3 linked regions of the Ovis aries genome follow. The protein of the gene in region 2 interacts with the protein of the main gene of each other region in a biochemical or structural test. Links are inferred from orthologs where the notes say so. Each region holds a gene or a part of one and is shown on either strand. Other genes may lie near its edges.

Region 1 (3,559 bases), on a different chromosome or scaffold from region 2:
ACTGAAGCAGATGGATTGTCCCATTGTGAAAGAAAAAAATGAGTGCCTTGATGATACATTTGTTTTTCTTAGCAGGCTTCTGCCATTAAGATTAATGCCTGGGGATATACTGTTAGATCTTGTGTGGAAGAGAACGTTATTACTCATAGTTTACCAGATTTTAGCATTCTTGCATCACAACACAGAATATCATTTTACATTTAGTATTGCTTTTCCAGTGCCATTATCAGATTGCATTTTCATAGTAAATTACAACAAAATTTTATGCTACCAACATTTAATGAAATTTTAATAAGGTTGTGTTTTGATGTTATTATTCAAATAATGTGTTGTGAATTGCTTTCCTTTGAATATATTTGCATTAAAGAGGAACTCAACTTGATTTGGTTCTTTGAACAGTTTACCCACTTTCTGGTAGCTTTAAGAAGACAAAGAGGGAAATTAAGTTTCGCCTTTGCAAGTCAGTAAATAGAAAAGGAACCCATTTGCTAGGATCTGTGGATGTAATGGCAGCAGATTACAGATGGTTTGAGTTAATGAAATGACTCACGTTGGTTACTAAAGCAGCACAATTAAAAATATAAAGTAGATATTTCACAGATTATGACGGATGATAACCTGGAGTTTTCGCTTTCTCATTGATCTCTAAGGCTAGAGACTCACATGTTAGCAATTCTTGGTCAGAGATGCCCCAAATTAAATGGTAGTCTCTTGAGACCGACTTCTCTGTTGGTAGCATTCTCTTAGCCATTTCTGCCAGATCTGTGGTTGTGAGCCCAAGGCCCATCTTTCCATGAGCACGTGCTTCCAATAGATAAAACTCCCCGGATCAAGCAAAAACCCTCCACTTATCGTGCTTTCTGGGGTGACTGTGCCATAGCTGTCCGGCTGAAAGAGTTGATTACACAGAATATCAAGGCTGAAAGGTGAAAAGACACGGAGAAAGAGCCCTGTATGCGAGACGAAGCTGTTTACCATTGTTTCTAAACAGACTCGGGCTTTAGAGAAAGTAACTGGTGGAAAATGGTGAGAAGGGGCTGGCGAAGGCAAACTAGTAGTCCTTGGGGTCTTTTAATTGTCTTTACGTCGTTTCGTGTGGAAAGAAATTGCTCTTACTTCCTTTCCACGCTCTTCGCCGTATTTTTCTCCCATATTCATCCTGGGAGTTTCCTTCACCTACATACAGCCCTGATTTCAGAGCTTTTGACTCTCAAGTTTCTACAGCCCTGGCCTGGGTACGATCCTGAGCCAAGCCGCACACTCGCTCAGGAGCTCTGCTTCCTGTTCGCCATCTGCAGGGTTTGGTAATAACGACGACACTTAATCATAATACAGCCCGAAAGGCTGCAAGGAATACCCGCTTCTTACCGCCGCCGTCCGCGGCCGCTGGCCAGACCGGAGCGACCTCTAGACGCGGCGCGGCCTCGATGACGCAACGCGCAGCCTCCGTGACGCAAGCGCGCAGCTTCTGTGACGCAAGCGCGCAGCTTCTGTGACACAACCGCTTCTCCTCCGGGCCCTCCCACAGCCCCACGGACTAACGGCTAACCGACCTTCAATCCCTGCCACCGCTGCCGGTTACGGGGAGTCCGCGCGGTCGGGGTCCCGCCGCCGCGACATGTCGCAAAAGCCGAAGAGCCGGGGCCGCCCCAGTTCCCAGGGCGAGCGGGAGCCGAGTGGCGGCGGCGAGGAGGCCCCGAGCACGTCTCGCGGGCCGGGCGGCGCCGCGTCGCAGCGGCGGGCCCAGGCCTCCCCCGCGCCGGGGCCGCGCTCGCAGAAGCAGCTGGAGCTGAAGGTGGCGGAGCTGGTGCAGTTCTTGTTGATCAAGGACCAGAGGAAGATCCCTATCCGCCGCACCGACATCCTGCGGCATGTGGTCGGCGACTACAAGGATGTGCTCCCAGAGCTGCTGCGGCGGGCGGCCGAGCGCCTGGAGTACGTGTTCGGGTACCGGCTGGTGGAGCTGGAGCCGCGCAGCAACACCTACATTCTGGTCAACACGCTGGAACCGGTGGAAGAGGACGCGGAGGTGCGCGGAGACCAGGGAACGCCCACCACTGGGCTGCTCATGATCGTGCTGGGGCTCATCTTCATGAAAGGCAATACCATCAAGGAGACCGAGGTCTGGGACTTCCTGCGGCGCCTCGGGGTACACCCCGACAAGAAGCACCTCATCTTCGGGGAACCCAAGAAGCTCATCACCGAGGACTTCGTGCGGCAGCGATACCTGGATTACCGGCGCATCCCGCACACGGACCCCGTGGACTACGAGCTCCAGTGGGGCCCGCGCACCAACCTGGAGACCAGCAAGATGAAGGTGCTCAAGTTTGTGGCTAAAGTCCACAACCAGGACCCCAAGGACTGGCCGGCGCAGTACTGCGAGGCTTTGGCGGACGAGGAGGCCAGGGCCAGACCCCAGCCCGCGGGCCCGAGTCCAGCCACTGCCTCTGCCCCAACCCCTGCTCCTGTCTCTTGAAATCTGAGACACACCCCAGGGCCCTCTCCCTCCCCGGGGGAAGGGCTGGAGGTGGGAGGAAGCATCTTGATTGTTTAAATGCGTGGTAGTTCCAGGAAGTGTTTGCAAACTTTAATTCTTGTAATGTTGTAAGTCGTTTTGATTCTAAAATTTCATTTAGAGGGTGACTTGTTTTGTTTTGATTTGCTTCAGTGTCTGTGTTTTTTGGTGTAAAGATCTTGTTAGCTTTATAAAGCGAATTGGAAAACTTCCTACCCGGATCTGGAACTGCCAAGGAAATATAAGCGAACTGGCCCTTGTCCGGCCTTTGAACTGCCCCACTCTGTAAAGGAAAAGTCTTCGTAAATTGAAAACGAAAGTGTAATTGCCTATATCCCCTATTACCTTAACGCAGCTATTTAAAAAATCTGTTTTCTATGCATGTAAGCATTTTGAGTCATTCTAAGCAATGTGTGTATTGTAGTTTTTCCAAATAACTTTTTACATTGATAATTACTATGCTGTGTGGCTGACCATTTTGTTCAATTTTTTTTGCTACTATAGTTATAATAAATACTGTATTTTTGAAGCAATTTAGCATTATGCATTTATTTTAACCCTAACTCATGAGAAATTTCATGACTGAAAACTAGCATCATAAGGAAAAAAGAAAACAATTTTTGTTACATATCATTGAGGTAAATAGTGTTTTGTTGAAGTTGCTTTACTTTTATATGTGTGACATACTGGATCATGATGTAAAATTATTTCTGTGGGTCATGGAAAAGTTGATAAAAGTCTTAGTGATTAACCATGCCTATTTGGGAATCAGACTAGTGGGTTCAGAGTCTGCCTCACTTACAAATTTAAGGAGATTAAGTTGTACACAGACCTTTCCTTACCTATAAAACGGGTTGATGCTGCCTGTTACTGTGTATGGTAGTGTGATAATTAGGTATGGAAGTTTATGTAAAGTTATGGGCACAAATTTGTTTAAATTGGGCTTTTTTTCCTTGGCTTAGGACTGTTAAAGTTTTTTCTTTTTAACTTTTTCTTTCATTCTCTTGTAAATCATGACTGTCCTTCTAGTCCGACTCTACTGTG
Region 2 (3,881 bases):
AGGAAGGCAATCAGGACCTAAGGGGGTTCTTAAAACATCTCCTTGTGTGGTGCCAGTCAGGGCACCACAAAGGTTAATGTTAGGCCAACTACCACAACCCCACCCAATGGAGGCCCCCAAGGTCACAGACTTCTGAGACAGCATGACAGCTGAGGTGCTGGCTGAAGGCCAGGGGGGACACAGAATGACTGGGAGACAAAGTTATAAATAGCAGCTTGACCAGCTGCAGGAAAAAAGGACTGTGGCTTCCACCACAGGTTTCCGTGCTTGCAGTGAGAGAAAAATCCTTTATTTTTTATCAATTGGAAACTTTCTTGATTTGACTTATTTTGTTAACAGTCATGGAAAAACACTGACACAGGAAAAAAAATATCAAGCAGATTAACTTTTCTTAAAAAAGCCCCATTCCTTACTACTTTCTTCCAAGCCCCTTTTCCTCCCCAGAGGCAACCACTGCCATCAGTTAGGTTTGCAGCCTTCCAGACACTTTTATGCATTTTCATATATAGTTTGGTTTTGTAAGGTTTTATTTTATCAATACATCAAGATTATACATATTGCTCCACAATATGCTTTTTTGACTTAACATTATGTCTTGGAGATCTTTCCATATCAGTGCATACCATTTTTAACTGCTGCATAGTATTAACTCCATACAACTAAAAAATCTAACTTGCTCTCAGGGACATGCATCACTTTACATTTTGAAACGAAGCTACTCCCCAAACTGCCCTGAAAAGGCTGCTATTGTTACATTCACACCCACAGCACGAGTGCTGCCATTTCTTCTCTTTGTAGTCCAAACTAGATATTCTCATGAAGAAAAACTATCACTTTCTGATGGACACAATCAGTTTCATTGTCGCGTTAATTTACACAGCACTGATTGCCAGTGAGGTTGATCGTTAGCAGTAGCCAAGCTGTTGATGCTGAAAACAGCTCTCCAACTGTTGGGAGGAGTTTGAATTAGTACAGTCACTTAGGAGAGCAGTTTGGCAATATCTAGTTAGAATGAAGATGTTCTAACCCTAAGATGCCCAAATTTTACCTCCATGTACTTAACCCCTAAAGAAATTCACACATGTGTACAGAGGAACATCTTTTAATTATGTTCACTGTTGCAAAACACTGGGAAGAAACTAAATGTCCACCAATGAGAGAATAGATAAATAACTTGTGGTCAGTGTACAATGGAATATTTAGTATACAGCAGTTAAAAGGCATGTATCAAAATGAGGAAATCTCAGAAACAATGTTGAGTGAAAAAAAGAAAGCTGCAAAATGATACATTTTAGCAATTATGTCCATTTAAAAAACTCTATATTGGTTATAGAGATACATACAGGCATATACATATATATGTACACAAATACACATGCACACACACACTTCAAAAAAGGCAGACAAGAAGTAATCAAACCATTTCCTGGATAGTGCTTACCTCTGTGGAAGCAGGTAAAAAGAACAGGTGAAGTTCTTCACCTGCAAAATGTATAGTCATTGGAGAGAGAGATCTGAAGCCAATATGGCCAAAGGTTCAAACCTGTTCACTTTGTGTGGGCGGGTACCTCGGTTTTTCATAGTATTTGTCTGGCACACATTTCTCTGTTCCTTTTGTGTCACTGTGTTAATGTATACAGTCAGCAGACAGTTTTAGTTTTTACCCATTCCCTCTGAGACTTGCTTTACTTTCTGAGACTTGCTATTTTCTAAAAGAGAATTTTAAGTCCTTCACCTCTACAGTCTGTTTGGATGTGTTCCTACCATCATTATTTTTACTATGCTTTTTCACTGTTTCTTTCCTTCTCATAGACTGACAGAATAGTCTTTACTCAAACTTTGCCCCTTTAGTAGTTCAACAGCCACACACTTTACTCCTACTTTTAGAAATAATTACCCTTACTTTTGTTGTTGTTGGAGTCAGTATTTCCAATGAAACTGATTTTTTTTTCCTAGTGGGAACACCAAAAACCCTATGTTGAAGGCAAATGCAAGAAATCAATTATAAAGTCACTTAGTACCACGGTTTTAGACGAAACCAAACAATTCCACTATACCATGTAAAACCAAAAGGAGAACTTTAATAAGCTTTTACGGCACTGCAATTACAGGAACATTAACCCATAACATGCAGCAGAAATGATGATGCCTCTTGGACAAAGTTAACAGATAAACTTGACATTACAATCAACATCAACATGTTCTACTGAAAAAAAAAAATGCAACATTTCACTGCTCAGGTTAGAAAATGCATCTTCTTGCTGCAATCTCAAGTAGCACTTAGAAAATTTGGTTTTCCCTTTCTAACCTCTAAAACACAGTATGATTTTTGTAATGCAATCATACACAATCATTTTCACGCTGGAAATAATCACAAGGAATCAACAGGTGGAGATTAATCGACTGACTGATTTCATTGCAATGGTTAATTTGGAGAGGGCTCCTGCAGTATTGTGGATTTCAGATGGGGAAAATCATCAGACCAGGAATAAAGAACCTTGGTCTTAAAGTGGGGGAGGGAACATGCAGCGGCACACAGGGCAGGTGCCTGACTTCTGAAGCCAGATGGACACACAAGGCTTGTGGAAATAGTGGTGGCATGGCAGCTCCGTCGCCACCTCCCCCTTCGCATATTCACTGCAACAGATGGGGCAACACATCTCCTGCCCCACCGCACTGTGATCTTCTGTGATCAGGATCTCAGGAAGAGTGTCGATGCTCTCCTTGCTGGCTGGTGGATTGGCCACCTCCACATCCACCGCCAGAGACTCCAAGTGTGCCAAGGCAGTTTCCATTGCCTGGGCCAGGCGTTCTTCAAGTGCCATGTATGTGAGGAACTGAGGATCCACGTATGAAATGGCTTCGGCTACCCCCAACCCATCCGCGAACCCATCGAAGAGGCTCCAATCCACTTCGAGGTCTTCACTGACACTGGAGTCATCTTCAAGGTTGTTGTTGCCATCCAGCATGAAGACACCAGGCTGCAGAAACTCCTGACCAGAATCATTATCCCCCTCGCTGCTGCTCTCGTTTTCATTGTACTGGAGCCAAGGAACTTCCCCTTCTTCGGGGGACGCCCTTTCCTCTTCCTGGAGAGAGGGCCCTCGAACTTCTTCAAGTTCATTGTTGCCACTGCTGCCAGCACTGGCACCAGCACTGGCATTCACTCTGGCTTGCTCGGCTTCAAGCTCTTCTTTTCCTGGCAGAGTCTCCCAGCTCTCGCCGCTGGATGACAGATTTTGCTCCCGACCACGATACTTGCGACGCAGAGCCGCAGTCCACTCTTTGTCACTGTCAGAGTCTTCTTCAAAGTATTTGTAGTAGTCATCACTGTATGTCCAGAAGTCGGGGTCGGCCATGGTTCGTCGCCGTCTAGGCACCTTTTCGGGCTTCACTTGGTCACTCCTGGCTTCCCTCTTGTCTTCAGGGTACTTCGGCTCAGGGTAGCCACTTGAACCCTCACCTCTGCTCCTTCTTGCCAGGCCATCCAAGCGGCCTTCATCAGTGCTGGCAGTCTCCCTCCACCTGGAAGTGCTATGTGGCATATCATCATCATCATCGGTATCAAAAAAGATTTTTGGTTTCACGCAGTTAGGACTTGCCAGATTTCTGATTTTGGGCCTCACCACCGGTTCCTCTGCGCTCTTTGGAGTGTTTTCCCCACCACAAATACTCACAGGAGCCCTGCTGGGACATGCAGGTAAATTCGGCTCCTGTCTCTCCCTCTCCAGGTTGTTGCTGTTTGTGACCACCTTGCCTTCAGCAGAAGACGGCTGAGAGGCCATGCTATTTGGCTGCAGGAACTCAGCTCTGCTAGCAGAGGACCGTGCTGCAGGGGCTGGGTCTAACTTGTCAAGCTCCTCTCTCACGTCATGGTTAAA
Region 3 (4,262 bases), about 8.4 Mb from region 2:
ATATTCCATTTTACATATACACCATATCTTTATCCATTCATCTGCTGATGGACACTTGGGTCGTTTCCATATCCTGGCCATTGTAAATAGTGCTGCTAAGAACACTGGAGTGCACACACCTTTTCAAATTAGTGTTTTCACTTTTTCCAGATATATACCATGAGTGGAACTGCTGGATCATGTGGTAGGTTACACAGTGGTGACAATGCTTTCAGCTGTACCCTTACGTATTCATACCCCAATTAAAAATTTAAAAGGAAAAAAAAAGAATAAAAAGTTTGAAAATGGGAAAAAATTTCAAGTAAAAAGTCATCACACTTTTCAGCTCTTAACATTTATAACTAGGAAGTAAATCAAGTACCTGATATAATTAGACTTGTGAAAGAAAGCTTACAAAATGAAATTTTTATATCCAGACTATGTCTAATAAAATATTGAGTATTTTCTACTTCTCATTAATAAACAGAGACAGAGAGAGAGAAAGAGACGATCAGGCCAGGACTGAGTATCTGACAGATTTTAACTCCATTAACTCCACTACCATTTAGCAAGTTACTACCCACCTGAGTCTAGGTTTTGTCATCAGGAAAATGACAACGATGATACTGACTTTAAACAGTGGTTCTGAACATTAATTAGGGAGCCAACTACATTAAAAAGGTTGTTTATAAAGACAGGCACTAAATTCATTTCAATTTACCACACCAACATTTATGGGCAACATTATGAACACGCAGTGAAAAGAGCAGTGAGAGAGGAAAGCAAATACGCTGTAGGACAGCATACAATGCACCACAAATTAACACACTGAGGAAGAGGTCAGGATAGAGGCAGACGTGTCTTCCCAGAGGGGCTGGTAACTGACAGTTCACCTAAATGGTAGCAACAAGCTAGCCAGGAGAAAGACAATATGGGGAACTTACATGGACAGATTAGATCATTCGAGTAGGCAGTAAGTGTTAGTCACCCAGTCGTGCCGACTCTTTGCAACCCCATGGACTGCAGCCCACCAGGCTCTTCTGTCCATGAGATTTTCCAGGTAAGGATACTGGAATGGGTTGCCATTGGCTAGTGACCACAGGCAGAGGGAAGAAGAGCGAATGTTGGAAGCAAAATGACCAACAAATGCAAAGCCACTGTCATAAATATATCCTGGCTTCCCACTCATATATGTATAGTCTGTGCCCTCTTTTCCTTTAGATTTCTGCTCAAATGTCACAATACCAAGGAGGCCTTTCTGCCTTTCCTATCTAACATAGTACAACCATCTCTATCACAACCTATTATATATTTATTTTATATTCACTCATTGTCTCTCAACTATACTTAATCATCCCTTATTTTGGCAAGTCTAACACCTTACAGAAGAGGGAATAAGTTGCTTGTTCAAGGAGACTGCTAAATTCCGCTTTATAACCTGAAATACCCCTCACCCTCATTATAAATTTACTTTTCTCTCTCTTGGAATTGAAATAAAAAATTGTGATAATTAATGAACAGTCTTGCAAGACAGTTTAGACATGATAAATGGTGCAAAGACGTAAATTCACATTGCAACAAATGAAAAAGACAAAATTCATATTACACCAAATAGATAATACATGCATAGCTCCTAAAAAAAAAAAAAATCTTTGTCTGAAAAATCTGTCAACTTGCTCTTCAATGTTGCTACTGAACAACAGGAAAAGATTTACATAATAAACCCAACTCACATGAATTAATAAATTTGTGATTGGATGTCATCTCTGTCAACCATTTCTGCCCCGTGAGAAATTCTAAAGATGGGAAAGCTTCCCTCTTCTAAAGCTGACACCAAGTTATAAGCAAAACTCACTACATTTGTCACTCAAAATTTGGAGATTCAGTTGTATACCAAAATTTTTTTATGTCATAGGCTGAAACCAGTGCAATATCTGATATGGGATTTCGTTTAGGGTAATAAATAAATACAAGTACATAATCTGAACAAGTTCCTACGTCTCTGAGAGCTCTAAAAATTTTCTGCTCCATTGCTGATTTTTAAAAACAACAAAAACAGCCTTGCCCTTGAAATTGAAGTCACACCTAATTTTATAAAGTATTAATAAATAATTCACTGTCCTCCGCAGAAGCAGGACCAAAGAGAATCAGAAGTCTTCAGGGGAGTAAAATACTGGGGTCTAAAGGGGAAAAAAAGGGAAGAATGTAGGCTCAGACTAGGGGAAAGAAAGAGAAGTCTCTCGGCCGTTTCCGACTCTTTGCGACCCCATGGACTGTAGCTTACCAGGCTCCTCCGTCCATGGGATATTCCAGGCAAGAGTACTGGAGTGGGTTGCCATTTCCTTCTCCAGAGGATCTTCCCGACCCAGGGATAGAACCTAGGTCTTCCGCATTGCAGGTAGACACTTTACCGTCTGAGCCATCAGAGAAGCCAGAGTCGGGGAAGAGGGTAGCAAAAGTTCTGAAGCTAAGAAGAGGGCGGGGTGGAAGGTGGGAGTAAGAGGTAGGAAAGAAATCGATGGTACAGGGAATGACCCAAGTTCATAAAGACCGGGAAGAGGATTCGAGATTAAGAGGTGAAGTGAAGAATAATCAGGGATAAAAGGACCATAAGAGTCAGAAGGAGGGGATGACGGCCAGCCATCTCCTGAGGAGTGAGAGAGTGAAGACAGAGATCAGAACCACAAGCGTCAGAAACATCCTTCAATGTACCCTGGAAATGAATTCTTTCCACCTCGTGGCGAAACAAAGAGGAAAGCGTTCCTGAAGTGTTTGGGGACTCACTTGTGAAAATTATCAGTCCCTTTCTTTACACTCACCTTGGTGAAGAACGCCGCGACAAGATGAAGGCGTGACCGGAAGTGCTAATTTCTTTTGTTTGGCGGAAGCTTTTGCCCAGGACGCCACACCCTCACCCCCGCCCCCATCACTCCCCACCCCACCTCCGCCTTCACTCCAGACAACTTCCTGTGCCTTTCTAGCAAGCTTTTGAAATATTGTATCTCAATGGCTCTCTCACCAGATGCGCACCTGGATAGTGACGTAGGATCTCTGGAAGAAGGAATCAGTAACTTTTTACAAATCCTACTAGCCCTAGTCATCCAAGGAACTGTAGCATCTCTGCCAAACTCTGTGTATCCTATTTGTCACCTCGCCTTGCTGATTCAGACGTTCAAGTACTGTTACTTCCTTAACTCTCGGATGTCTACAGCTACATATTTATCATACTGATTAACTGCTTTCTGGAATTAAAAAAATAAGTTCATTTTAATTACTAGTATAAAAATTTCAAGATGTAATTAGCCTCCAATTAAAATAAATAAATTTAAATTTAAAAAAATTTCAAGATCTTTAAAAAGTCTTAAATCTGAATCATTTCCGTCTTGGAATGGTATCCAGAGAGTAACATTCCATACTTAAAATTTGCAAAAGAAAGTGAACTCATTTAGAAAGCATTCTTGTGTACTTTTATACCCCTCCCACCCAAATGAAGACAATGATAATTGACAAAAAGTTTCAATAATAAAAATAAGCCTTACTTTGGTTAAAAGTTCAATATTGAGTTACCTATTGCTGTTACCTCCAGAAAACTCCTCTAGGGCCAAAATCTGTACCCCAGTTCTTCTCTTTTGTGGTTATTTTCAGCCAGTTTGCAAGTGTACCAAATACTGCGTTAGACCCAGAGACATGGCACTAGAAGCCACAGCCTAGGGGCTAAGGCAACATTTAAACACGTAAGAGTCTAGCATAAAATAGGTGATTATAGATGCTTGTGGAATGAATAAGTGACCAAAATGTGGTCAGGGCAATGACAAAGGCTAGCACAAGGTCTTTACTTTTGCTAGTATTTGTATAGTTCATTTCAGCATTTAACTCATGTTTTGTCATTCAACCAACAGATTTTGAACAACCACTTGGTGTAAGGTTCTGTTTCTGATATTGTCCATATGAAGAAGATTAAGATAGAATCCTGGATTTCAAGACCCTCCAATCAGTGAGGGAAATGAACACATAAAGAACTAGTAGCACTATAATGTGACAATAATAATAGATGAAGAGAAGACAGTGTTGAAACTATGGCTACTCCATCGACTGGTGAATAATTAAAATCTAAAATACTCCTTATATACTAGAGGGTACTCAGTGAAGACTTGTTTAATGTTGAATACATGATGGAATGGATGAATGGAAAGGAAGAAAGATAGTGGATTTGAAGTATAGTGTGAAAGAAGCAGTGATGAGAGATGGAGGCTGAATGTAAGAGAGCAGACAAGGAAGAACCT

The links.
Region 1: the proteins of PJA1 (region 2) and NSMCE3 form a complex in vitro, tested with the Homo sapiens proteins (2 studies listed by BioGRID). The link is inferred for Ovis aries from reciprocal best matches to the Homo sapiens genes PJA1 and NSMCE3.
Region 3: the proteins of PJA1 (region 2) and MAGED1 form a complex in vitro, tested with the Homo sapiens proteins (2 studies listed by BioGRID, with this or other methods). The link is inferred for Ovis aries from reciprocal best matches to the Homo sapiens genes PJA1 and MAGED1.

Annotation. Positions count from the first base shown.
Region 1 is NC_056071.1:25,979,602-25,983,160, reverse strand, and holds NSMCE3 (non-structural maintenance of chromosomes element 3 homolog), read left to right. Parts: upstream 1-1,494; 5' UTR 1,495-1,618; coding exon 1,619-2,476; 3' UTR 2,477-3,048; downstream 3,049-3,559. UniProt on the Homo sapiens protein: Component of the SMC5-SMC6 complex, a complex involved in repair of DNA double-strand breaks by homologous recombination. The complex may promote sister chromatid homologous recombination by recruiting the SMC1-SMC3 cohesin complex to double-strand breaks.
Region 2 is NC_056080.1:62,082,460-62,086,340, forward strand, and holds the end of PJA1 (E3 ubiquitin-protein ligase Praja-1), read right to left. Parts: coding exon 2,505-3,881; 3' UTR 510-2,504; downstream 1-509. UniProt on the Homo sapiens protein: Has E2-dependent E3 ubiquitin-protein ligase activity. Ubiquitinates MAGED1 antigen leading to its subsequent degradation by proteasome. May be involved in protein sorting.
Region 3 is NC_056080.1:53,694,826-53,699,087, forward strand, and holds the start of MAGED1 (melanoma-associated antigen D1), read right to left. Parts: upstream 2,846-4,262; 5' UTR 2,799-2,845; exon of another isoform or gene 2,692-2,798; intron 2,443-2,691; exon of another isoform or gene 2,319-2,442; coding exon of another isoform or gene 2,264-2,318; intron 1-2,263. UniProt on the Homo sapiens protein: Involved in the apoptotic response after nerve growth factor (NGF) binding in neuronal cells. Inhibits cell cycle progression, and facilitates NGFR-mediated apoptosis. May act as a regulator of the function of DLX family members.